Danio rerio: one gene and its partner. The protein of the gene in region 1 binds, or shares a complex with, the protein of each later gene. Links are inferred from orthologs where the notes say so. Each region holds a gene or a part of one and is shown in the gene's direction. Other genes may lie near its edges. The genes, in order: cnot10 and cnot6l.

Region 1 (13,285 bases):
AAACATATTTGTTTATCTGAAAAAAGAATGCTAAAATCAGCTGTTCTTATTTGAAGATCTTTGATCTGTGTTGGAATGTCTGTCTTCGTTTTGGTTTATATAACCAGCACACTGCCAGTTTAGCCAATTATACTTCAGCACCTCTGGTTGTCTTTGCAGAAAACACAGTGAATTTAATTTAATTTCTAATTTTAATTTTACACCTCAATTCTGCACCTTAAAAATAAATGTTAAATTCTATAAATCATCTAATACAGAATGCTTAAAGGTGCAATATGTAACGTCGACACCCAGTTGCCGAACTAGGAATTGCATTTCTGGATCAAAACAAATGCAAGCGCAGGTTGCCAGATTGGAGACCAACAGGAGTCTGACTGTCGAGCCTAAAGGCTGATTTCAATCGTGTTCTATATAAAAGCAACGGCAGGAAGGAAGGAATATTTTCCATATTAAAAGGAGTTTTTGTTCTAACCAACACCTCCAATTGATATATTAGAAACCGCTTCTATTTCTTGCATCTGAACAACAGAAAACTTAAAATTATTACCTCAGGTACACATCATGTGCTGTATTCAGTGTTAAATGCTTTTTTACCTGACATTTATTGCTATATACTGAAAGCAGCAGCAGATAGTTCACCTCAGATCTTGGAAATAAAATTAATCATTTGAAAATTAACTTTCGTTGGAGTACATTTTTGACGGAGTGCAGTAAGTGCACAATTCTGTGCTTCTGAATTGCTGTATTTAAATTTCTGTCGTGTTTCGGGTTAAAAGAACCAAAACAAAGACACTGTTCCAGCACGTTACACACATTTTCATAGCAGAATATCTGACTTAAGCAATGTTTTTCAGATAAAAAAGAATGTTCACTTAGGATGTTTCTTAAATATCTGCAAACATATCATGGTATTTTTATGCTTTACAAGATTCAAAGACTTGCATACAGCACCTTTAAAGTTACTGTCAATCTCTTTAAGCTAAACAGAGGGAACAACTAAAACAGATTCTTATTGTCTTTATATATGTAAAAATGTAAATATGTTCCATAACGTGATATCTAGCATACATCTTAATAAATACAATTTACAATAAATACAATTTGCATAAATTCTTAGTAACATAGCTTGCTTATTAAAAAAAAAATTCCAGTTAAAACTTCTCTCTCTCTCTGATGTTTGTGCTTGTGCTTTTTTTTCTCCACTTTCCAAAGGTGAATGTGTGAGGTGTATGTTTTGGAATAACCTGGGCTGTATCCATTTTGCCATGGGGAAGCACAACCTTGGTCTGTTTTACTTTAAAAAAGCACTTCAAGAAAATGACCACACATGCGCCCAGATTGGCGACGGCAGTAATGCGCAGGGTAAGATGATCAGGACTTGAGGACAAATTGTGATTTATGGATATCTTGCAAGTTTGTTAGTTAACATTACAGGCGTAGGATATATTGAAAAAATATCAATACTGTGATAATAGTATATGTAATACATCACTTACAATTAAATATATTTTTGTGCCAAGCATTTGTGTGCTGTATACATGGGTTGTTTATTTCCGCTAAAGTTTTCAGTCATTTTTAAAGTCTTTAAGTTTTAAACCTTGACTGTTAAAGTAAAAAAAATTTTACATTTATTTATTTATTTATTTATTTTTTTATTAATTTCCAAAATGATGATTAACAGCAAGGAAATTTTCACAGTATTTCCTATAATATTTTTTTCTTCTGGAGAAAGTCTTATTTGTTTTATTTCGACTAGAATAAAAGCAGTTTTACTTAAAAAAATAAATAAAAAATAAAACATTTTAAGCCTTTAATTGCCTGCTCCACCAAATGGTTGACCATGTTTTGACTGTTTTCAATAATGACTGTTAAAGTCATTTAAAAATGACCATTTTAAATAGTAGTTTACACTACACAGCGTTGTTGATTCACAAAAATAATAAACAAACATAATCCCATTGCACTACTAAACTTGATTTTGCTTTTATTGTAAAAAAAATAACAAAACAGCAACATGTTAAATGAAAATATGAAATATTTTATGGCATACTTAAAAAAATAAAGATGAAATAGCATTCAAAAATGTTTTGGTTTGGTAATTTATTCAAATAAATTGGTCTTACGCTATATTTTCAGATTTTTCTTAGTCTATGTATTAATTACGGTACTTTTACCATTTTTAACAAAGTGACACACTTTAGAATTTTTATCCTATATTAAAATCTTATTTAATTTATGTGCTCGTTTGTTTTTTGTTTGTTTAAAACCCACTACCGCCCATCCCCCTGGTAGACTTCAAAAGATGAATAAAAAAATTATAATAAATAAAATAAAAATAATAAATAAATCAAATAGTTTTACAAAGAAATTCTACAAAAACTTTAAAAAGAATGCATTTTTTGTTGTTTTTAATTGTACATTTATTATTGAAATGTTCTTGCCATGAAAATGGCCTGGGTTGCTGACATGGCATTAAATAAAATAAATACCTTGTATTATTCAATTAGCTCAGAAAAAAATATTAATTACCTGCTTATTTTAGTATGATCATACCATAAATAATTTTTTTTTCAAGTTAGTATTGTAAGAAATATTGCATATTCTCCCAGCCTCGTATTTAACATTGTTTTTTCCTCCCCCATAGCATCTAAGAAGTTCAGTGGTATCCCCATGTGTGCTCTGTTAGCGAATAAGCGCTATGAGCTGCTGTATAACTGCGGGATTCAGCTACTCCATATTGGCCGACCGCTGGCAGCGTTTGAGTGTCTGATGGAGGCTGTACAGGTGTATCACTCCAACCCTCGACTCTGGCTAAGACTGGCAGAGTGCTGCATCACAGCTAATAAAGGGGTACAGACATTAACCCACATCTGTTTTTTGTTTTTGTTTTTACATGAAAGACTCCCCCAACCTCTAAATAGTACACTTCCATTCAAAAGTTTGGGGGTAATAGTTATACCTAGAAAAGTGTCATTAAAGGGATATTTCACTTAAAAATTAAAATTCAATCATTATTTACTCACTCTTTACTTGTTTCAGTTTCTTTCTTCTGTTAAACACAAATGAAGATCCTTTAAAGAATGAATAAAAACCTGTAACGATTGACTTTCATAGTACTTTTTTTCATTCTATGGAAGTCAATGGTTACAGGTTTTCTGCTTTCTTCAGAATATCTTTTGTTTCAAACTTATAAAAGTTTGTAAACTCTTTAGGGTGAGTAAATAGTGAGTAAATAATAATTTTTAGCTGAACTATTTTTTTTTTAAATCTATAAAATAACAACTTTTTTTAGTGTTTACTAATTTTTATTATTTAAATATTGTTATTTTGAACTTAAAATAAAACTTTGAACTTTGAAACAGAAATATAAACATATCAAATAGAAATTGGTGGTTCATTTCGCTGTGGCAAGCCCTGATTAATAAAGGGATTAAGCAGAAAAGAAATTGAATGAAATAGAAATTGAAACATACTTCTTTTGTCGTATTTAAAGTCTGTTCACGTCAAATGCTTAAAACCATTTGCATGTTTTTAAAATTATTTTGGTATGACCAGATTTGTTAAAGTTGGAAACACCTTTTTGTAGTATATTGATGATTTTGAAATATATTTGACATTCATATTTATTTTAATAACCTTTCCTTCATTTGTTTCCTCTTAGAGTTCGGAGCAGGAAACAAAAGGTTTACCCAGTAAAAAGGGCATCGTGCAGGCGGTTGTTGGGCAGGGCTACCATCGCAAGATTGTTCTAGCATCACAGTCCACACAAAACACCATCTACAGGTATTAATAATTTTGGACTAATGAACCATGATTTTGCTAATTATTAATGGAGTTACAAAATGTAGCTGCTTGAGATTGTGTCTGCCTGATTGGAGGGATGCGATTTCCAATTCATGCACTGTATGATGCACTGTAGTGACAGGGTTTCACCAGAAGATGTCATCCTTTTGCACTTATTCTTTTCTCTCTCAGAACAAATAACATTCAAAGACATTAAAGGGATAGTTGGCCTTTTACTCAGCCTTTATTGTTCCAAAACTTTTATGTAATGGGTTTGTATGGGTACTCTTTGAACAAGGCATACATTGAATATGCTTGAATTTTAATCTAGTGTTGTAAAGGTTTGAAAAGTACTTTGATACTTTAATTTTTGGATAAAGTACTTGAAACAACTTGAAATTGCAATTGTGTAAGTTTCATAATAATTTATTGTACCAAATAGTTTCCTATTTAAGCACAATATTAATACATATTTGCTTTTTCATCAAATGAAAGCTATTATTTATTCATATATTATAATTACTGTAATATATTATTACTATAATATTACTATAATATACCATTGAAATCAGAATTATTAATTATTAAATTATTAAACTAATGATTTTGAAGAAAATGTATATATTTTAATGAATTTAAGAAACCAGTATTCATTGACTTCCATTGAAGGAGAAAAAAACACACTATGAAAGTCGATGGTTACAGGTTTTTATTTGCTTAATTACTTATTCTGTCCTCATTTACTCGCGATTCAAAGCCGCATGACTTTCATTCTCTGTTGAATGCAAGAAAATATATGTGTTTAAGAATGTAAGTAACCAGTATTCGTTGACTTTTTTTGCCATAATGTGGCTCTCCAACATTCTTCAAATATATTATTTTGTATTGAGAAAAAACAAAACTTGTAATGAATTTGAAGAAAATATATATTTTTAAAGACCGCAAGTAACCAGTATCCATTGACTTCCATAGTATATTTTTTGCCATAATGTGCCTATCCAACATTCTTCTAATTATCTTATTTTGTATTGAGAAGAAAATAAAATGTCTAATGGATTTGAAGAAAATAATTTATATATATATATATATATATATATATATATATATATATATATATATATATATATATATATATATATATATATATTTTTTTTTTTTTTTTTTTTAAATTTTTTTCAAGAATGTAAGAAACTAGTATCCATTGACTTCCATTGAAGGAAAAGCACAAATACTATGAAAGTCGATGGTTAGTGGTTTTTATGTATTTAATTACTTATTCTGTCCTCATTTACTCGCTTTTCAAACCCTCATGACTTTCTTTCTTTCTTTGTTGTACACAAGAATTTATTTTTTAAGAATGTTAGAAACCAGTATTCATTGACTCTCATATTTTTATTTTTATTTTACTTGGCTGTCCAAACATTCCTCAAAATATCTTATTTCGTATTGAGAAGAAAAATACAACTAATGACTTTGAAGAAAATATATATTTTTAAATAATGTAAGAAACCAGTATCCATTAACTTCCATGGTATTTTTTTGCCTTACTGTGTGGCTATCCAACATTCTTCAAAATATCTTATTTCTTATTGAGAAAAAACAAAACTTTTAATGATTTTGAAGAAAATGTAAATTTTCAAAGAATGTAAGTAACCAGTATCCATTGACTTCCATAGTATTTTTTTGCCATAATGTGACTGTCCAACATTCTTCAAAATATCTTAATTTGTTTTGAGAAGAAAAGCACAACTTGTAGTGGTTTTGAATTATTTGAGGGTGAGACTTTAATTTTAGGTAAACTTTACTCTTTTAAAGCTTCTTACTTTATCAAAGATCAGTAGAAACAATTCTGATCCATTAACCATCCTGAAACCAATGGACCCATCTGCTTGTGTTTGTGTGCAGCGAGGCGCAGTCGGCAGCTATCCCAGTGGCCAGTATGGAATTTGCAGCAATCTGTTTGCGGAATGCTTTACTCCTGCTGCCAGAGCATCAACAGCACGACAGCAAACCAGACAACGGCTCCAAGAGCTACAGTCAGTCAGGCGGCACAGAAAGCGGCAGCGAGACCAGCGACGCCTGCAGGTACCTGTACATCCATGCAACATAAGCACTGAAAATAACTGATCATGAAGTAACCTGAATTGACTGAACACAATGAAGAACTTGTCAGATACATTCTTTTCACCATCATTTTTTTTTTTATTTGCCTGACAGTGGGAAAACCCAGGAAGGGGACAAGTTCATTCCTGCTGCCCCCTCATCGCCCTTGAGAAAGCAGGAAGTGGAGAATCTCAGGTGAGCTTACAGGAGACTTTATATGGACTTGCTATAAAAAAGGCCTGAGGTAAAATGGTCTCTTTTAAACGCATTTGATTTAGCTCCACCAATTGTTTGATAAATTATGTATGTCACTGCTAAAAGAAATTTGCTTATTTTTCCAGTATAATTTCCCAAAATATTCCATAAAATATGTCATATGAAGGGTTTAAAATATACTTTCCCCTTTGAAAATTATTAAGCCTAATTTAGATATTTTTATTTCTTGTTTTAAGCTTAGTTTCACATAATTTACACACACGCACACACATATATAAATATATCTGTCTACATACATACATACATACATGGCTTGCCACTGTGGCTAGTAGTTTTCCACCGTTACCAGCCACTCGCCATTTTCACTGGCCACAATTTTGTAGTTGGATATATTATGCATATGCATATGCATTATAATATATTTTATATGCATAAATTTGACTTTGGCATGAGTTGCGGCGTGCTAAAATGACTTCATTTAGATTTTGTGTTGTTTCCACTTGCCTCCTCATTCATTTAACTTTTTTTCTTTGTAAGCTTACTCAATGAGCATGAGCAAATGAGTTATGCTTTCATAAAAAAGTGTCGCATTGAAATTAGTTTTCTTTCACAGGACTTTTCAGTGCTCAACACAATACGGATTTACTTTTTTTTTCTCTGGCCACACCAAACTAATTATTTCCTTGCCACAAATTTTAAATAATGTGTCAAAACAAGCAAAACACTGCTGTATACATACACTTTTTATTCAACAAAACAGCTGACATTTAAAAATATATATATTCTCACGCATCTAAAACTATGCACAGTTGTGCATAGGCCTGGGTGTGGCCTACTGGAGAAGGGCCTGCTGGGAGCACATGGTCTTTAGACCTTACCTTCAGTGTTTGATGGCCAAATTCGTTTGATTTTGTTTATTTCATATCAGTTTTTTGTTCAACTACCTCTGCAATAAACAGCAACAAATTAAGACTTGATGTTCTATGTTTTATTTGCAAAGGAAGCGTCTAAACGCCTCAGCAGATCCAAGATGTGACAAATTTGAAACATTGAACAAGGATAGTCACAACAGTCTGTTCTGTTAACTATGCATACAACAACATATTAAAGCAATATTATTGTAAAGGATGATTATTAAACTATATTAACAAAAATAACAGCAAGCAAAAGAAAGCTGGTAAAAACATTCTGTGCGCAATAATGAAAAGATCATGCCGCGCACACGGTTATTGGTTGGCCAATTAATAATCTGTACAAAGAATGGTTAAAGCAAAAGCGACAACAACTGCTGCTTACAAAAAATCTCGAGCTCTTGAAGGACTGTGGGTGCACAAGCATCGGACTAGTTTCATTTTCAGGCATAGTTGCTTCGACTGAGGAAACTGCACAGGAGCTATTAAACAGTGGCGCGCATCAAATCACCTGTGCGCACAACACTAGAGCCCTCGTCAGTGAGTGTGAAAAGCCTGTCTCACCATGTGCGTGATCCTCTCATTCACCTGCTTTCTTTTGCTTGTGTGAAAAGCTGTTTTGTCAGTCGTGCTGCTTCTCGATTCTAAGATCACATTTGTACACAAATAGACAAATGGACATAAACTAACAGTGTATTCTGTAGTGACGACGAGCCAGCACTGGCAATTTAAAAATTAGTTTTAGCCAGCCAAAGTGGCTAGTGGGAGTGGCTGTCCAACCCGCCTCAACCAATATCTACCCGCATTTGGCGGGTGTTAATGTAAAGCCCCGTGTATATATATATATATATATATATATATATATATATATATATATATATATATATATATATATATATATATATATATATATATATATGTAATTTATATTTAGATAATTTATATTTATAACTTTTTTTTAATTAGCTATCCATTTTTCTGTAAATCACAATTATTCAATTCAATTTTATTTCTGTAGCGCTTTTACAATGTATATTGTCAGCAACATAACATAGAAGTTACAATTAACAGAGAAGTTCTAGTAAAATGCGCCAGTCCAGTTTTCAGAGTTGTTTTTTTGCTGAAAGTCCAAACCCTGAAGAGCAAATCTCAGCCAGACATTTTTATCTTTTTCTCACTTAATTTAGGCTCATATTTACAGTGCTTTTGATTCATATTTACATTAACATTGTTAAGTAATGTTTGATATTTATATTGTAAAACCAGGCAAAAATACTGAGCAAGCAAAGCATTTTTGTGTTTTATATAAAAAGCAGTCCTCAAGAGGGCACTTGTCAGCACAGAAAGCTAAATTCTCTTTTTTTAAGAGAATAAAAAGCGCATTTAAAATTTTCAGTGTTTTTTTTTTTCAATTTGGTAACTTCAGTAAAGCAATTAACCTCCATTATTTTTACTCTGTTAGTTTCCTCTGACAACAGGTTTTGTTTCCTTGACTAGCTCACAATGCACCTCTCTTTCTTATTGTACACACACACACTTCACTGTTCACCCTTGCAATCTGCTTTTTTTTTTGCCTTGAGAATTGATTAGACTTTCCACCCCACCTCCATCCTGCTCTCGGTCCCCTTCCCCCTCATCTTTGATACAGGGGGACGGTCTGCTCCAGAGGGCTGGCCGGATGTAGGTCCCTGTGAAGGGAAGGGGTGTGGAGTGTGGATTGTGTTGACCCTGCACTGACACCCTGATACACTGACACTTTTACGAGCCCCTGGCAGCATTTACTCAAAGGGCTCTTCCTGGAAACCTATTGTGTCACAGGCAGCCGCTCAGAGCACTGAGTATTTCTCTGTTTTGCACTCTATTCTTTACCTACTCATACCCTCTTACGGAGCATCAGCAACAAAGTTGAGCATTTAGGAAATTAGCCTATCATGTTCAACTTCACCTTGATGCACACACAAGTTCATGTGCATTTACTACTGTCTGTTAATATATAAAACATCTAAATTCATCTAGATTCACCTGCAGGGACATTGAAAAACCAGATTATTTTGAACAATATTACAGTTGTTAAAATGTAAAATAAATATATATATGAATCCTTTCTGAAATATTAGCTCCTTGTATATTTTTTCTCCAATTTTTACTTAAGTTAAGTTTTTTTTTCAACACATTTCTAAATATGATTATTTTAATTACTCATCTCTAATAACTGATTTATTTTATCTTTGTGAAGATGACTGTAAATAATATTTTACTAGATATATTTAAAGATGCTCGTATTCAGCTTAAAGTGACATTTAAAGGCTTAACTAGGTTAATTAGGCAAGTTATTCTATAGCGATGGTTTGATTTTTTAAAATGTTTTTCAAAAATTAAAAACTGCTTTTATTTTAGACAAAATAAAACAAATAAGCCTTTCTCCAGAAGAAAAAATATTATCAGACTTACTGTGAAATAAATCTTGCTCTGTAAAACTTAATTTGGGTTATGTTTGTAAAAGAAACAAAATTCACAAGAAAGCCAATCATTTTGACTCACCGGCCACTTTATAACGTACACCATACTACTACCGGGTTGGACCCCCTTTTGCCTTCAGAACTGCCTTAATCCTTCGTGGCATAGATTCAACAAGGTACTATTTTGCTCCATATTGACATGAAAGCATCACGCAGTTGCTGCAGATTTGTCGGCTGCATTTCCATGAAGCGAATCTCCTGTTCCACCATGTCCCAAAGGTGCTCTATTGGATTGAGATCTGGTGACTGTGGAGGCCATTTGAGTACAGTGAACTCATTGTCATGTTTAAGAAACCTGTCTGAGATGATTCACGCTTTATGACATGGGAATGGAAATGGGGGCACCCGGAGGAAACCAGGGTGTACATGCAAACTTCACAAAAAAATGCCAACTGGCCTAGCCGGGACTCGAACTAGCGACCTTCGTGCTGTGAGGCAATCACTGAATTTTATGTACATAAACTGATATTAGCTTTTTTGCCTATGTGTATTAATTCCTGTAATTACCATATTGTGGATGTTTTGCAAAAAAAAAAAAATAACCTTCCTTAAATTCGATTTTCGAGGCAGCTGGCAATTCTTGTGGTTGGATTTGTTGAAATTGTCCAACACTGAACTTTGCAGAGTGTATACAGGGTGTCCGCGGGGTCTTAAAAAGTAATAAAAGTTAATAAACCAATGTAGAGAAATTTAAGGCCCTAAAAGTTTTAAAGTCTTAAATGCTATTTTGCAAAGTATTACATTTTATATCATTTTCAATTATGCAATGTATGGTTGTATGCTAAAGTTCGCCTGAATTAAATCTTCGAATATCAGGATGCTGCGTAGTTTATGAAATCCTACTAGATTTGACATCATGCTGCTTTGTTTACTGCAGTAATAAAGTCAACACCATTATTTCTGCAGTTTTATATGCGCCAACCTGCTGTATTAGCTAGATTAATTAGATTTCTTTTCAGTATATGAATAATGTTTAGTTTTGTATTAGTCTCTTACATAATATTTAGTAAATATGAAAGCTAAAATCTCGCCAGTGTTTCCGCTTAAAACCTAAAGTGGTTATAAGGTCTTAAAATGTATGGGAAGAATCTTAAAAGAGGTCGCAAAAGGTATTTTACTCTCTGATTCCTGTATATACTCTGGTTACTCTGGTATAACTCTCTTTACCAGAAAGAACTGTGAAAAGTCACTTTAAATTCTGTGAAATTATTTTGTTGGTTGTAAATGGTTTAATCTGCTTGCTTCTCTCTTCAAAGGTGCTCCATTCTAGCCTGCAGTGCGTATGTGGCACTTGCTCTTGGGGACAACTTAATGGCTCTTAACCACGCAGAAAAGCTCTTGCATCAGGCAAAACTGTCAGGATCGCTCAAGTGAGTCCGTCTCTCCATTTCTGGCTGATTTACCTCTTTTATGGGTCCTGCTCTCACAACATTCAGCAAATATTTGCCCTCCTAAAACAGACAACCCTGAGCGACATGGCGTTTGCTATGTGGTTCAACCAGTCAAACAAAAGGTCCCACCTTGCCTGACCACTTCATTTTCACAATTTTGTGTTTTTTTTTTTGGTGGGGTCAGTGTTTGGGATGAACTAAAATCACTAAACGCTTTTTTTGTGAAAACAAACGTTAAGCTTCACCAGTAGTTAAAACTATTCAGAGAATCAGTTGTATTATTACCTCATCATCTTCAGCTTCTCAAAATAATGAATGAATGATGGTGGGATTTTTTTAACATTTGACTTGCGACAACAGTCCCACTCCTACCTGACGGTAGAAACAAGTACCCGACAGAAAAACTGCATTAAGTGCAATGCATGTAATGTATGTGGTAATTTTAAGTACTTGGATAACAAAATAAATGTTATTCAACCTATTTTTTTTTTTAAGTGCAACATATTCCAAAAGATCAGGGGCTTTTGACAATACATCAGGGGCTCAACCCGAAAATGAGTATTCATTCCATTTCTCAGGGAATATAGGTCATATATTTTGGTGCATTTGAACAAAACGCATTTAGTTAAACAGATATATTTATTCAAATAATATTTTAGTCACCAAACATATTTAGAAATAGACAGAAAATATGTTTAAATGCATGCAAAGTATTGGAAAAAAAGATTACTAAGGACATGCTTGACAACTACACATGCTTAAGAAACAATGAAGTAGGAAATTTATGACACTATATGGTACACGTGAAATATTGTGTCGTTACTTTGAAACATTTAGGGCTCTATTTTAATAGGTACAGAATCTAAAGCTCAGGATGCAAAAGCATTAAGGGAGTGTCTGAATCCACTTTTGCTATTTTAAGGATGGAAAAACCCACTTGGCCCATGGTCTAACAGGGTTGTGCTTATTCTCTAATGAGTTCTGGATGTGTTTTGAGAATAGACCAATCAGAGTCTTATCTCCTTTTCCCTTTTAAGAGTTAGTTGCGTCGAGCCATGGCACATTTGCTATTTACAGTTAGGAAAGTAATGCTTTCATTGTAGATCTGTGCATTTTTAAATTGACACTTCTGTTATTTAATGCAATCAAACGGAAAATCTAAGTGAGATATTTATTCGTGGCTCTTTAATCAGAATGTTTAAATTATACAGTGAATAAAGCACATGTTCAACAACCTTAAAGTACACATGAAATCAAAACTAACCATATTGATTTTGTGAGCTCACATTGCTAGGCTTGTGGTGAACAATTCATCTGTGCATGTCATTAAGAAAAAAAAAATGCCCTTGTAATCCGAAATTGAAGACACTATATGTTTGTTTTTAGATAAAGTCTCAGATTACGTCTGTCTGAGGCATTGGGCGTGGCTAACATACTTAACCACGCCCCTCCAACTGTCAGTTTTGACAACAGAAATGGTGAGCAGGGGGTGTCTGTTAGGTTGTAATGACTTTCCCCAAACCCTTTTCCCAAAGTTTTCTTAATTAAATGCCTACTTTTCTACATCCAATGAGCACGCAGTAGAAAAAACAAGCCACACCCACCGTCTTCTCATTTAATTTAGCAATTTCTTTATCACAGAACAAAAAAAAAAAAAAACTAAAAATAGTCTCAGTTTCCGGTTCATGCTGAGTTTAAGTTTGTCCAAAAATAAGCGAATTCAGCAGAATACATACATGTCTGTCAGAGCACTTAATTATTTTCTTTGCAATCCAATTTAAATACAGAATCGATTCTGAACTTTTAGGATTCGATTCAGAATCGCGATTAATCGATTTAATTTCGACCTTCTTCACATCTTTTTCTTCTTAATCATCTTAATATACTAAAATTAGTGTTGTCCATGTACAAGTATTGTTTGTTTGTATTGGTTCGATTTCCCAGGCACAGATGAAGCTTAAACTAACGCTTGAAGTCAGTGCGCATAAAGCAGTCAGTTTAGCTTTAGTCTTTGTCTTAAGAAATGGCTTTAAACAATGTATTCAGCTGATCTATAATCAATTTTTAATGAGTTGTGGTTGTGTGTCTGTGTGTCTCAGGTTCCTGGGTCACCTATATGCTGCTGAAGCCCTGATCTCGCTGGACAGGATTTCTGATGCTATTGCACATCTCAACCCGGAGAACGTTACTGACGTCTCGTTAGGGGTGTCATCCAGCGAACAGGACCAAGGTATTGATACACACAGGCATTATCAAAATCTATAAATGATCATGTACATGGTGTGTGATTTTTTGACGTGTGCTGTTAATGACAGGTTCTGATAAAGGAGATCTGGAGCCTGTGGAGTCCTGTAAGTCACAT
Region 2 (13,285 bases), on another chromosome or scaffold:
TTTGCGTAACATTTGTCTACATATTTATATTTTGTTTACATATTTGTATCAATATTATTATTATAATTGATTATGGGCAATATATATATATATATATATATTTATTTTATTTATTTATTGTAACATAGGCTAATTTTCACCTACAAAGTAGGCTTATGAGGCTATATGTTTTATTTATTTTTTATTTTTCATTTTGAATAGGCTACTGTAAATACCTGACAATAAAGGCAGTAATTTTTTCACTTTAAAATTTAGCAGTGAATGAAAAGCAAATTTAACCTAACAAAAAATTATAGCCTAATCTAAATGCTGCATAAAGTGAACTCCTGGTAAAATTCCTGCAGAAATTAAGAAATGATTATGCTCTAGCCAACATTGGGTAGACTAGTTGGCCTAAAATATTTTGAGCAATGTTGTTGAACTTGTCATAAATAAACATTTAAAAAGGCTGTAAGAACACAATAAATTATGCTTTTGCTCGAAAAAGAAAAATTACTATTTATTTAAATATTATAATATTCTTTTTATTTAGTTTATAAATGTCTGTTTAACATCTAGCAGGACACATCTCATAGCCCCCTTACAGATGAGGACTCTAAAAATGAACTTTCAGATGAAAACATGCACATAAAATAGACTGAGCAATTTTCCTAACACTTAAACTAGAGGCCAAGGAAAGAATGGTATTCTTTGATTAATAAAATGGTACATGGCCACCACGGCACATTTTATCACGTTTCTATTTGTTAGTCATGTCCACACCAAAATGACTTTAAGCTTAATTTAGGACAAAATGGTATTTAAATATGTACAATAATGTATTTCAGCTTTGGATGTTGGTCGGGTTGAATGTCCACCACAGGCTGCTGAATGCTGATGTTTAGCCTGTAGGTGGAAGCAGATCACAAAGTTTAAACTGTTTACATGGGATGACAGCAATAACTATTGTCCCTGAAAATGAATTTAAGATCACAAAAAGCAACACAGTGCATTAAAACATAGTAGAATTTATTTGGAGTCAACAAATGATTAAACATTTTGTAGCATTTGCACACATGCAATGTATCTAATAAATAGTATTTATTTCTACTTATGTGTATCAAGTTGAAGGGATGGTTTCCACAAAAAGTTACATTTCTTTAGCATTTACTTATCCTTGGGTGAATCCAAAGCTTTATGATTTTTTTTTTGTTTGTTTGTTTGTTGAACACAAAAGAATATAAATTGAAGACTTGGAAACTAGTAGCCACTTGAGTATAATATAACATCTGACATCTGTAGTATAGTAAAATAAAACGCTATGGAAATCCATGGCTACTGGTTTCCAACATTATTCTAACTATATTATAAGTATAAAAAATTAAACAGGTTTGGAACAAGTATATGGTGAGTACATTTTGATTAAATTTAGATTTTTGCTTGAACGATGTCTTCAAGTAATTGCTCTTCAAATAAAAACTCATCCGTAGCCATTTTTTAAAGACAGCTGTAAATCAAAGGAAATCACTTTTATGGCTGTCAAAAAGTCAAACATAAACATAAAAGTACAAAGCTGAATTCAGTGCTGTAGGTTGGATTTTAGTGATAACAGCTTAAATTTCTATTATACCCAAGTAAACAATTCTTCAGTTTGCATACTTTTGGTTGATTGGATGTATTTCAACTTTTGAACTGCCTTCAGGTCTTTAAATGTGTTCAATTGTCAGCAGTTGTTCAGATAACTCCCTAGTTCTGCTTTATTTAATCTTTTTCAGCATATTCATCTATTTTTCTGTGGAATAAATATACAATATTTTGTGTAATCAAAAGATTGCAATATTGATTGCTTTTTGAAAACGGGAGTTTCCTGTTTTCAATTTCAGCTCTTGCCTTCCTCAGAATTAGGAGCAATGACCTTAATAATAAAAAATCTTATTCAAATATTACAAAATTACAGAACTCATTCTGCTTCATTCGGTATTTCAAGACATCAGGTTTTCTACCATAGTGATTTGGAACTAGGATGCTTTCAAAACCAGCCTGGAACTGTAGCTGTGGATTGCCCAAAGACCTTAGAGCACACCTTAGAGCAGGGGTTCTCAAAGTCCCGAATCTGAATTTTCATAGATGACAAAAATGTCTGTAAAACATTGTTAGCACAGAACATGTTTTAAATAAACATGCATATACATTAATTAACCTTTTAAAAGTCTGCATTTAAATATACTATTATAGCAAGTGCAAAAGTGGCAAGATGAGAACTGAAACTTAATTTAATTGTCAGCAATTTTTATGAACAAAACACAACCTGAGGTATAGCTCAAAAGTAGCATGGTGCAAAATACAATGCTGTGTGAGACATAACTCTGCCTGTATTCCAGCTGCTGCTAAACCTTTCATAGTGCCGTTTGACATTTTCACTCTTCATAAGTTTAAATATCTCATTTCTAATTAAAGAGAACAGTTTTGTGCTGGATTGGAGCAAAATCAATGCATACCTCTCTGTCCAATGAATCGTCTTTAAAAACTCAAAGTTTTTTTGTTGACTTTTCTTTTCTGGAAACTGGCATTCTTACCATTCAAACGCTCACTGTGTTGAAGAGTGTCTCTCAATTACGGTAAACATCATACATTGAAAAACAGCGCCACATCAGTTCGCTTTCACTATAGACCATCGCCAAAAAACAAGATTACATGTTTAGCACGTGTTTATTAAAGAAGTAAATGCACACTTTCTGTATTATTATTATTATTATTATTATTTGTTTATTGGTTTTAAAATACAATATCAATTTATAAAAGCAAAACAGTTGAGACACTCAGTGGCAAAGGTCAAATAAAGTAAGAAAAAAAATATTCAATATTTAAATATATTACATTGGTAAGAGATACCATCCAAGTGCACTGAGTAGAGAAAACACAAAACAACAAAAATAAATAACAAACAAACAAACAAACAAAAGAAAGGTTATTTATTACTTAAAAAAACTATTTGAAAAAAAAATAGGGTGTAATTCTTGATTAATGTCAAGCGCTAGTTCTGGGTATGGTCATTCATTTTGAAGTGCTTCTGGAGTGGCCAAAAGCTCAGAGGTCTATGAAATTCACACTTTCGTTCACTTACACATAAGAGTGCTCTTGAATATAAAATCGAAAAGAGTCCAAACTTTGAGAAGCCCAGACTTAGATTGTTCGTCAGCCAATCAAATTCAAGATTTCAACAACTCCTAGTATATATATCTTAATACTATTTATTAGAATATTCTCATCCCATTTTCTTTCCTGGCACTGTACTGCAGGCTTAAAGCCACCTCCAGAGAAACAGCTCCTGCTTGTAGCTAACGCCCACATGCACTGGGATCCAGAATACTCGGATGTGAAGCTCATCCAGACTATGATGTTCCTGTCTGAGCTCAAGAGCATCGCTGAGAGGGCCTCGGGATCTATCAACTCTTCTTCACCCACATCAGAAACAAGCTCTATCCCTATCGTCCTGTGTGCTGATCTCAACTCCCTCCCAGATTCTGGTAAGTCATATTTAAAAGGTGCATGTTGAAAATAAATTGGAATGTTTGGGCCAGATTTACCAAGTAGGGCAATTTTACGCAAGAGCATTATTGCAAAACAGCACTGAATCTACAATTAGAGAACAAAGATATAACATCTCATTTACATATTGACAGTGCAAATTAGAATAGTGGCAAATTTCCTTGTGCCAAATATTTACTAAAAAAATTTACTGGTCAAAGAATGGACATGCTCACAAAATAGACAGGAATGTGAGTGACCACAAGGCACTTTTTATTTTTACTTACAACTAGCTACAGTATATCTGATGCATGCTTTTCAGGCACAAAGAGAACACATTGCACATTGTCTTAGGGAACCATGATCATGCTGGTATTGTGTGACTCAGATGTTACTTCCCAGTAGTCTCTTATTTCTTAAAACAAATTCAAAATAGCATATTTGGCAAACAGTATATTTGAGCGATTGTATTCCTTTGGCATTCCAAAATAAATATGTGTGGGGTAAAAAAAGTCTTATACCATGCGCTCTGTGTTCCCTGTATTGTCTTCTCCTGGTAACAACAACTGTAGCCATTTCAAGTGTGATATTTATATTTTTAGTCATTAAATAATGACGCAAATATCTAATGTGAGAAGCACAAATGTTGTTAAATTGCAATGCGCTATACATTTAAACACTTTCATCCTATAAATTTTGTGTCTAATTGGGAAACTCTTACAAATGTATATTTTAAAAAAAAGTAACTGTGTCAGTGCCTTTTCAGAGATATTTCTCTCTGCTGTGTGTGTTTGGTAAAACTAAAAAGACAGTTAGCATTGAAGCAAGCTGTTAGTAAATTTGTCTCTTTACTGTTTACAGTTTTTGTTAAGACTAATCTAAGACATTAATATATTTCAGCAAGCCATAAAATTGCACTTACAGAGTGGGTGGCTGTTGATTAGCCTTTTTGTTCCTTACAATTGGATCAAATAAACAAAGCTTACTGAATTCGCCTGCTACCAAATTAAAGTAATAATTCACCCAAAAATCTTACTGACATGTTTAAATTTTTGAAGTTTCCTTCTTCTGCAAGAATATAAAAGAAGATTTTTTAAAGAATGTTGATAACCAAATTTTTGACTTCCATTAAATTAAAAAAATAGAAAATAACATGTCATACATGTTATAAATATGTTGCAGAAAACTACCTATAGCTTTGTAATGTTAATTTGGGGGTGAACTATCTTTTGAATGTCAAAAAACAGCCAATTTTATTTTTTGCTTCAGATTAGAAGCTCTTGTCTCAGAATCACTCGTTTTCCTGACCTCTTTCTTGCAGGTGTGGTGGAGTATCTGAGCAATGGCGGAGTTGCAGAAAATCACAAAGACTTTAAAGAACTGCGCTACAGCGACTGTTTAACTAACTTCAGCTGCAATGGCAAAAACGGCAAGCCTGATGGCAGTATCACACACAGTTTCCAGCTGAAGAGTGCCTATGAGGGGAATCTCATGCCCTACACCAACTACACTTATGACTTCAAGGTGAGGAGATTTTTTTTTCAGAATCAAAATGAATCTCAATCAAAATATTATGGGAGCCATCTGTTTCAACATGAGATTTAGGATTTTCATGCTTGCTTTCTTTACATCGCCATTTTTGTTCTTTTATTTGTTTCAACAAAGCTTTGCTGCGAAGATGAATCATTTATGATCATATGATTATCTTGTTGGTAAATATGATGATGTAGGTCTCACATGATGCACTGTATATACATGATAATAAATTTACATTTGTTAATATTGAAATGACATAATCAAAAAATGACTGTCGGTTCATGACCAGGAGAATAAGTAATGATTCAGTGATGGTGTCTGATTCAAAAGCCAACTCATTTAGCTAATTATTTTGAGATGTGTTGATTGGTGGATTGTCTTGTGGGTGTCATTTGTTATTAAAGTGTGACTGCCTTTGTTATAATAATGAATTAAAATAGGGTGTTGGCATGTTACATGCTTGCATGAGGAAACCCGTGCACATTAGAAAGATTAATCCTTGTCCAGTATCTGCTTTTTAAAAGTTTTAAGTCAGAGTGAACCAGAAGTTGCTAAGACTTCTATTTCAGGAAGTCACTGTACTTCCGACTAAGATGGATTGTTGAGTAGGGGTCAGGGTTTTCTTTTTACTCATTATTCTCTCTTCGTAAACTAACGGTAATAGGGGTTTGGTTATCAATAGCTACAATCAACAAAAAATGAATGCCACTTTAAATGTGGAAGCAAATGTTTAGACTTTGAAGATTACCAAAACAAAATTGTTTTAGTCGATTATCTTGCACAGATTTATTGTTCACCTAAAGAATAAGAATGTGTGCTAACAAAATATACATTGTAAATTTCGATTTCACGTGGACTTCAAGGGATAAAACTAGAGTTGTGCTAATTTAAAATAGAGTTATATATTTTAATCTTATAGTTATATGTGTTTCTAGTCTAGTTTAGTCATCTCTGTTTCTTTTCCGGCTGTAAATCAATGTTCTGGTTCAGTTTAACACCTCATTGACAATCTAAGTGGCTCAAAACAGTCAAGTGCATATGCAGATTGTGCATACATTATATGCAAAGTTAAAAAAAATCTTCTGATTTAAAAATTCAACTTACTTCACCCTGTGAATTACACTAGCATGTGTCTAAGGAATATTGATTTCAGAAACCCTTATTACTTCACTTTCCACTCATTCAGACTTAAAGGGTTAGATTTTTAATTCATTCATTTTCTTTTTGGCTTAGTCCCTTTCATAATCAGGGGTCGCCACAGCCGAATGAACCGCCAACTTATCTAGCATATGTTTTACACAGTGGATGACCTTCTAGCTGCAACCTAACACAGGGAAACACCCATACACACTGTTTCACACTCACACACACTACAGCCGATTTAGCTTGTTCAGTTGACCTAATGCGCATGTCTATGGACTGTGGGGGAAACTGGAGCACCCGGAGGAAACTCACGCGAACACTGGGCGAACATGCAAGCTTCACACAGAGTTGCAAAGTGACCCAGCTGGTGCTCAAACCAACAACCTTCTTGCTGTGAGGCGATCGTGCTACCCACTGCGCCACCGTGACACCCAAAATTTAATTTCTAATATTAATAAGTGTCAATAGCCTGAGACCTTCACTCATCTTCTGAACACAAATGAGCTTCCTTCATCCTCCACAGACAGCCGTAGTCAGGCATTCAAAGTCCAGAAAAAGACCCCAAAATGCTGTCAAAATATTCCATGTGACTTCAGTGGTTAAACTAAAATCATGCACAGTTCCAATAACACCTTTATTCGCACAAAAAAAAAAAAGAGTAAAAACAACTTGCTTTTTATCAGTGTTTTCCATTTTAGATTAGTGTTTGCATTTAATATGACCAATAAAATGTTATTGTGTTGCTCTGCTGACTAAAATGACAATATATCAGACTGCCTGTAGCAAGTGCACACCCTGAACTGATGTGAAACAGAACAAAGAACGAATGAGCAAAGGCAAACAAAAGTATTTTTTACAGTTTTATGGCACACAATAATGTTCTTGGAGCTTCTAAAATGTTTTTTGTAAAGAAAAGTGTGTGCATTTGTACAGTATGTGGCCCATTTATCGTTGCAAAAAAGGCCACATCAAATAATTATAAAGTACATCAAAAAACTTCTGAAAACATTCAAAAACTTTCTGATTCAGTTCTAGTTTTGGTATTTGTGACTAGGTCTCTGCTTCATCAGAATCAGTATCAGTTTCGTGTCGCTAGGCAGACATGCCCAAACCCTGCATTCTACTTTCATTACAGGAGAAACTGCTTATTTGCAGTTAAAGCCAAAGACACCAAACAGCTCTGACCCAAAAACTGACATTTTCAAATGGTCTGACAGGTATTTTAAGCTGAAACTTCACAGACACATTTTAGGAACACCAAAAATTGTAAAAAGAGGCATAATATAAGAGGCCTAAAAAGACTTTTAAATAGATTTTAAAGTGACCTATATTTGAGACTATTTACAATTTATAATTTATTCAATAATTAATTCAAAATTAAAGTTTGAAGAAATATCTTTTTTTGCATGACACAGTGACATTTAAGTACAAATAATAGCTCTGACGGAATTCTCTTGAACAAATAAGCATTCGTTTAATGTGTCAGAATGGAAAAGAGTGAGCGTGTGTAAATGTCACGTCCTTTTGGTTTTCTTGGCAACATCCTGAATCATTCACATAAAAATCAGAATGTGCTTTCTTTGACAATCTAGAAAATCAGGGAAAGTTTGTTTTTTCTTTTGTTACACTTTGTTGACACATGGCAAAAAAACGGTCATTAGTACATACCTTAAAAGTGACAACTGTTGTTGAGTTTTAAAAATTGCATTTGTTACACATTTAAATGAATTAATCCTTTACTGCACAACATTTCACTTGGCAACAGAAATGTCAATTTTCAGTGCATGTTTTCATAAATCATTGCAACCAATTGGAATGGTTAATAGCAATAAAGAAAAAGTCAAATAGGATTTGAGGGTCACTATCATGCACCATTTGAAGGTGGAATATTCTTTGCACCCGTGGCCCAAGGAGTGCTTGATGTGATTAAAAGGCAAGATATCTGCTGTAGTAATCCTGTTTAAAAAGACATGGTCAATGCATAAATATATGCATGCCGGTGTAAAAATACATTTTATTAGGTTTTATTATGATTTTATTTTATTTTGAATGTTTAGAAATTCTAATTTTCTTATAATTTTCATCAACTTAAGTTTTATTTTTACAAGTTTTTTTTATTCTAACGATATTTTTGCTAATATTGTGCTTAGAGATTATCACATATTGTTATACATGTTAGTGCACAATTTATGTTCAAAGCAGAAGAGGTGGCAAACTAGTGGTGGGATTTCCAATTTCCCATGAAATGAAAACTCATTGCGTAATTACATGAAGTAGAGCAAATGAGATGAGACACTATATAATGCAAGTCCTGTACCAGATTCAATACATCAATGAGTTTCAAGTGCTTTCCATTTTTGATCAATAAGATTCGCTCTTAGCTTTGTTTTATGGGTGTTTATTAATAATTGCAGCAATAATCTTCTCCATGATTCAGTACCAAAATATTTTGGGCTAAGGGTTGCGCTAAAAAATAATGAAATTAACCAAAAATTGTGTAGAATTATTTAATCATACAGTGTCTATAGAAAATCATCACACCCTGTGAAAATCTAATTCTTTACTCACTAGGGATGCTCTAATCGCCGGGGATCGGTATCGGCTAATAATCACATTTTTAAACAGGTTAAGAGTCTGGGTGTCATTCTTGATAGCACCCCATCTTTTGATTCTCACATCAATAACATCACCCAGTCTGCTTACTTCCACCTACTCAATATTAACCGACTCCGCCCTTATCTTATCCCCCATGCCACTGCTGTTCTCGTCCATAGCCTTAACACATCTCATTTAGATAACTGCAACTCCCTTCTCTTTGGTGTCACTCACAAATCCCTCCATAAGCTTCAGTTGGTCCAGAACTCAGCTGCACGTATCATCACCAGAACCCCTTCTTCTCATCACATCACCCCTGTCCTGCAGCAGCTTCGCTGGTTACCAGTTCATTTTCAAATTGTTTTTTTTTTTTTTTTTAATTTTTAACATTTTGCTGTTAACATTCAAAGCCATCCATAATCTCGCCCCTCCATATTTGTCTGCCCACATTTCTGTTCCGTCTTGCACCCTGCAATCTTCTTCCTCCCTCCATTTGTCTGTTCCCTCTGTTCGTCTATCGTCCATGGGCAATAGAGCAATCAGCCGCTCTACTCCCCGGCTTTGGAACTCACTACCACCTGCCATCAGAAATATTGACTGCCTCACACTATTCAAATCAAGACTCAAACCCACTTAGTTAAGATGGCTTTTAATACTTAATTGTATCTGCACTATTGCTGTGTATGTTTTTATATTATTTCTCTTGTTCTATTTCTCTTGTTTTATTGTACAGTGTCCTTGAGTTGCCAGAAAGGCACCTTTAAATAAAACGTATTATTATTATTTAATGACCCGATCTGTACTTACAGATTTCATGACCCGATCCCAAGTATTTGTGTTAGCTGGAGATGAGCACATTTTAACATGAATATTTAATAATATAACTTCTTGTAATTTACTTTTTGCAATAAACAGTAGTTTATAGACCTATTTACTTTTAGTTAAGAAGTATTAGATTTATAGGTGTGCTTTTTAACTTCTTGTTCATCAAATATGCTCTCCAAACCTTTTTCTTGATTGAGATATATTGAATTGCCAGCAGCTTGCTTTCTGCAACGCACACATGGTCGCCCACTGAAGCTAAGCAGGGCTGTGCCCAGTCAGTACGTGGATGGGAGACCACATGGGAAAGCTAGATTGCTGCCTGAAGTGGTGTTGGTGAGGCCAGCATGGGGCACCCAACCTGTGCTTTGTGTGGGTCCTAATACCCCAGTATAGTGATGGTGGCTCTATACTGCTCAATGAGCGCTGTCTTTCGTATGAGATGTTAAGCTGAGATCCTGACTCTCTGTGATCGTTAAAAATCCCATGATGCCCTTCGAAAAAAAGAGTAGGGGTTTAACCCCGGCAACCTGTCCAAATTTGGCCCACTGGCCTCTGTCCATCATGGCCTTATAACCATCCCCATATCATAATTGGCTTCATCACTAACCCGGTCTAAACTCAGTGCTTACGCACTGCTTAATACGCACAAGAGAGCAATAGGCAATTATCTTTACATATGAAAAAATGTAAATATTAAGGATATATATAGGATATAATAAGGATAGATATAGAGTATAAATATAAAGGATTAAAATATTACAAAACATTATTTTCTAGCCTACATAAATATGAAAGATCACTGCTTTTATGTCTTCTTCATCTCGGGAGGCTTTTTCAGTTCATTCATAACAATTTGCTTTTGTATAATGTTATTATTATTAGCAGTGTTATTTAATATATCCATATTTATATTTGTTTTATTAAAAACAAGCTTAGATTTGCCCACCTGTCAGGTTTTAGACCATATGGGGCACAGCATGTGTTTTAGGATATAACATTTTGTTATTATTATTCATTTATTCGTTTGCTGGAAATTAGAACTGAATTTAGAAATAGTTTTGAAATGAATATTGGGCCTTAACAAACAAAAGTATTTATTTATAGGCTAATTGATGTCTGTGCGTAAAGTTTCCCTATCCAAGAGCGAACGTGAAAGTAGTTCCATTATCTCTCATTCTCACGCAGTAGATGCTCTGTTTAACAGTTTTCTGTTAAAAAAAAACTGTCAACTGTTAGCTGTTTGCTTGTGAAATGCTCATTTTTTCCACTTAGACTTACTTTGCGTCCTGTAAATAGCGAATGCGCTCTTGGCGTGACGCAGCTGACTCTTAAAGGGAATGGGAGATGAGACTCTAATTGGTTTATTCTCAGAACACACCTATAACTCATTAAGAAAATAAACTCAACCCTTTTAGACCATGCGCCGTGGCGCAAGGCAGATTTTCCATCCTTAAATTAGCAAAAACGCGTCCTGACAAGCCCTGAAAGCGTTTGCGCCCTGCGTTTTGCGCTCTGTGCATGGACCGTCAAAATAGAGCCCTGAGTGTCTTGAAAAGCACTATATAAATGTAAGGAATTATCATTATTATTAATTCTTCTTCCTTCCTTTGCAGTGTTTCCAAAACGTATTGTTAATCATTTTTCTTACCATGTTTTTTTTTCTTTATCTGTGCTGTCTATTATTTTCTGTAATGCTGCTTTTAACTATGACATGTTCACACCTAAAAGAGACTTGTTTAAGGATTATATGCAGCATCCTTAATTTATGCTCTTAGGTAAAGAGAAAACTCCACTTAATTATCTTACTTAGAAGGAAAATGTGCTTAATGCATTTTAAAGCTTGAAGCATCAGAATCTGTACTCAGTAACGGCCGATCTCAACTACTCGATAATGGCTGCAAAAATCCTGATCAGTGCATCCCTATTACTCACATTTCACCCTGTTTTCAAAAGACCTTCGGGATAAAGTTGTAAAAAAAAAAAAAGCACAGGTTAGGAGAAGGCTACACAAACACTTCAAAAGGCTGGAAAAGTTATTTAGAATGTGATTTGATTTCAGATTGTATGACAAATAAAGTCATTATTTCAGAGGGGTATGATGATTTTCTATAGGCACTGTGCAATACACAATTGCTGCAGTAGAGGGTTGAATTTACTTAATCTGAAAGGATGCAACATTTTGATATCTTTACCCTTTTTACATTTTCTGTAGGGTGTGATTGACTACATCTTCTTCTCAAAGACACACATGAGCGTTCTGGGTGTTCTGGGTCCATTGGAGACACAATGGCTGAAGGACAACAACATAACCGGCTGCCCTCACCCTCACATCCCCTCCGACCACTTCTCCCTCCTGGCTCAGCTGGAGTACCATCCGCCTTTACCCCCCCTCAACGGGCTGCATCTGCCTGTCCACAGGTAGTGCAGACCCCTTCCTTCCTCTCCCAAAACCCCACACCATGGACAGACCCCCATCATAAGCCCCAAAAAGTATAGGCGCACACATTAAGGAGTGAAGTGCTCACCTACTTTCTTGCTTTTTTAAGCCTTTGCACATGATTGTATCATTATTATTATTATTATTATTATGTTTTCCAATTTGAAAACAAAAGCTTAATACCAAATTAGGGTTGGGATTCTCTGTTTGGTACCAAACGAACACTGCTTTCAGGGAAATCGATCTGTTTGTCTAAATCTAAATGTGAGATTGTACTAACCGTGTGTATTGATGGTAGAAATGTGTATCTTATGAGAAGACAGATCATTTAGCATAACAATGTGAGCACTAGTATTATGACGTTTCGATCAGCATCCGCTTTTAAATTCCCTTTTGACATATCAAACATTTTAAAATTAAAGCAATTACAGTAAAACCCCATATGCAACTTCAAATATTACAGTTACTGTATCCTGTTCATTACAAATTTAAGTTCCCCTATTCATTGATGGATTTGCATTGAGATCATGAAGTGAAACATGTGGTGAGGTCGGATTTTTTAGCAATCTATTTTTAATTGAAAATTCTCAATAGTGCAATGTGAAGAATTATGCGAAACTTGTACTTAAGTCAGTAATTGACACTATTAAAGAGGATCCCAGCCCTACTGATTATAACACAGCTGTGTACCTTTGCTGCTTTCACTTTCGTCTTGCAATGACATCTAAATTACATCATCATACTAATGTATCCACCTTATTTTTAATGTCAGATTGGGTTTGTAGCTCAAACGTGCAAAAGGCTTCCAGTGTCATGCACTTACACCTGCACTAAAACAGTCCATCATGCTAATATTTAGTACAAAATGATCATAATAATTTTGGAACTATTATTATTTTTGGGGGTGGCTCAGTGGTTAGCACAGTGGATAGTCCCAGTTGCCTTTTCTGTGTGGAGTTTGCATGTTCTCCCCGTGATCAGGTGGGTTTCCTCTGAGTGCTGCGGTTTCCCTCACAGTTTAAAGACATGTGGTACAGGTGAATTGGATTTACTAAATTATGTAGTGTGTATGAGTATGTGTGAATGAGAGAGTTTGTGGGTGTTTCCCAGTACTGGGTTGCGGCTGGAGGGGGATCTGCTGTGTAAAACATTTGCTGCAATAGTCAGCAGTTGCGACCCCTGATATTCAGGGACTAAGCCGAAGGAAAATTAATGAATGAACATTATTTTTTGTCAATTCCA

Evidence for each region.
Region 2: cnot10 (region 1) and cnot6l share a complex: the UniProt entries of both Homo sapiens proteins name them as parts of the CCR4-NOT complex. The link is inferred for Danio rerio from reciprocal best matches to the Homo sapiens genes CNOT10 and CNOT6L.

What each region holds. Positions count from the first base shown.
Region 1 is NC_133191.1:8,046,319-8,059,603, forward strand, and holds part of cnot10 (CCR4-NOT transcription complex subunit 10), read left to right. Parts: intron 1-1,212; coding exon 1,213-1,362; intron 1,363-2,644; coding exon 2,645-2,850; intron 2,851-3,661; coding exon 3,662-3,783; intron 3,784-5,688; coding exon 5,689-5,868; intron 5,869-6,000; coding exon 6,001-6,081; intron 6,082-10,788; coding exon 10,789-10,902; intron 10,903-13,022; coding exon 13,023-13,153; intron 13,154-13,238; coding exon 13,239-13,274; intron 13,275-13,285. UniProt on the Homo sapiens protein: Component of the CCR4-NOT complex which is one of the major cellular mRNA deadenylases and is linked to various cellular processes including bulk mRNA degradation, miRNA-mediated repression, translational repression during translational initiation and general transcription regulation.
Region 2 is NC_133180.1:39,699,569-39,712,853, reverse strand, and holds part of cnot6l (CCR4-NOT transcription complex subunit 6-like), read left to right. Parts: intron 1-3,278; coding exon 3,279-3,506; intron 3,507-4,828; coding exon 4,829-5,031; intron 5,032-11,818; coding exon 11,819-12,024; intron 12,025-13,285. UniProt on the Homo sapiens protein: Has 3'-5' poly(A) exoribonuclease activity for synthetic poly(A) RNA substrate.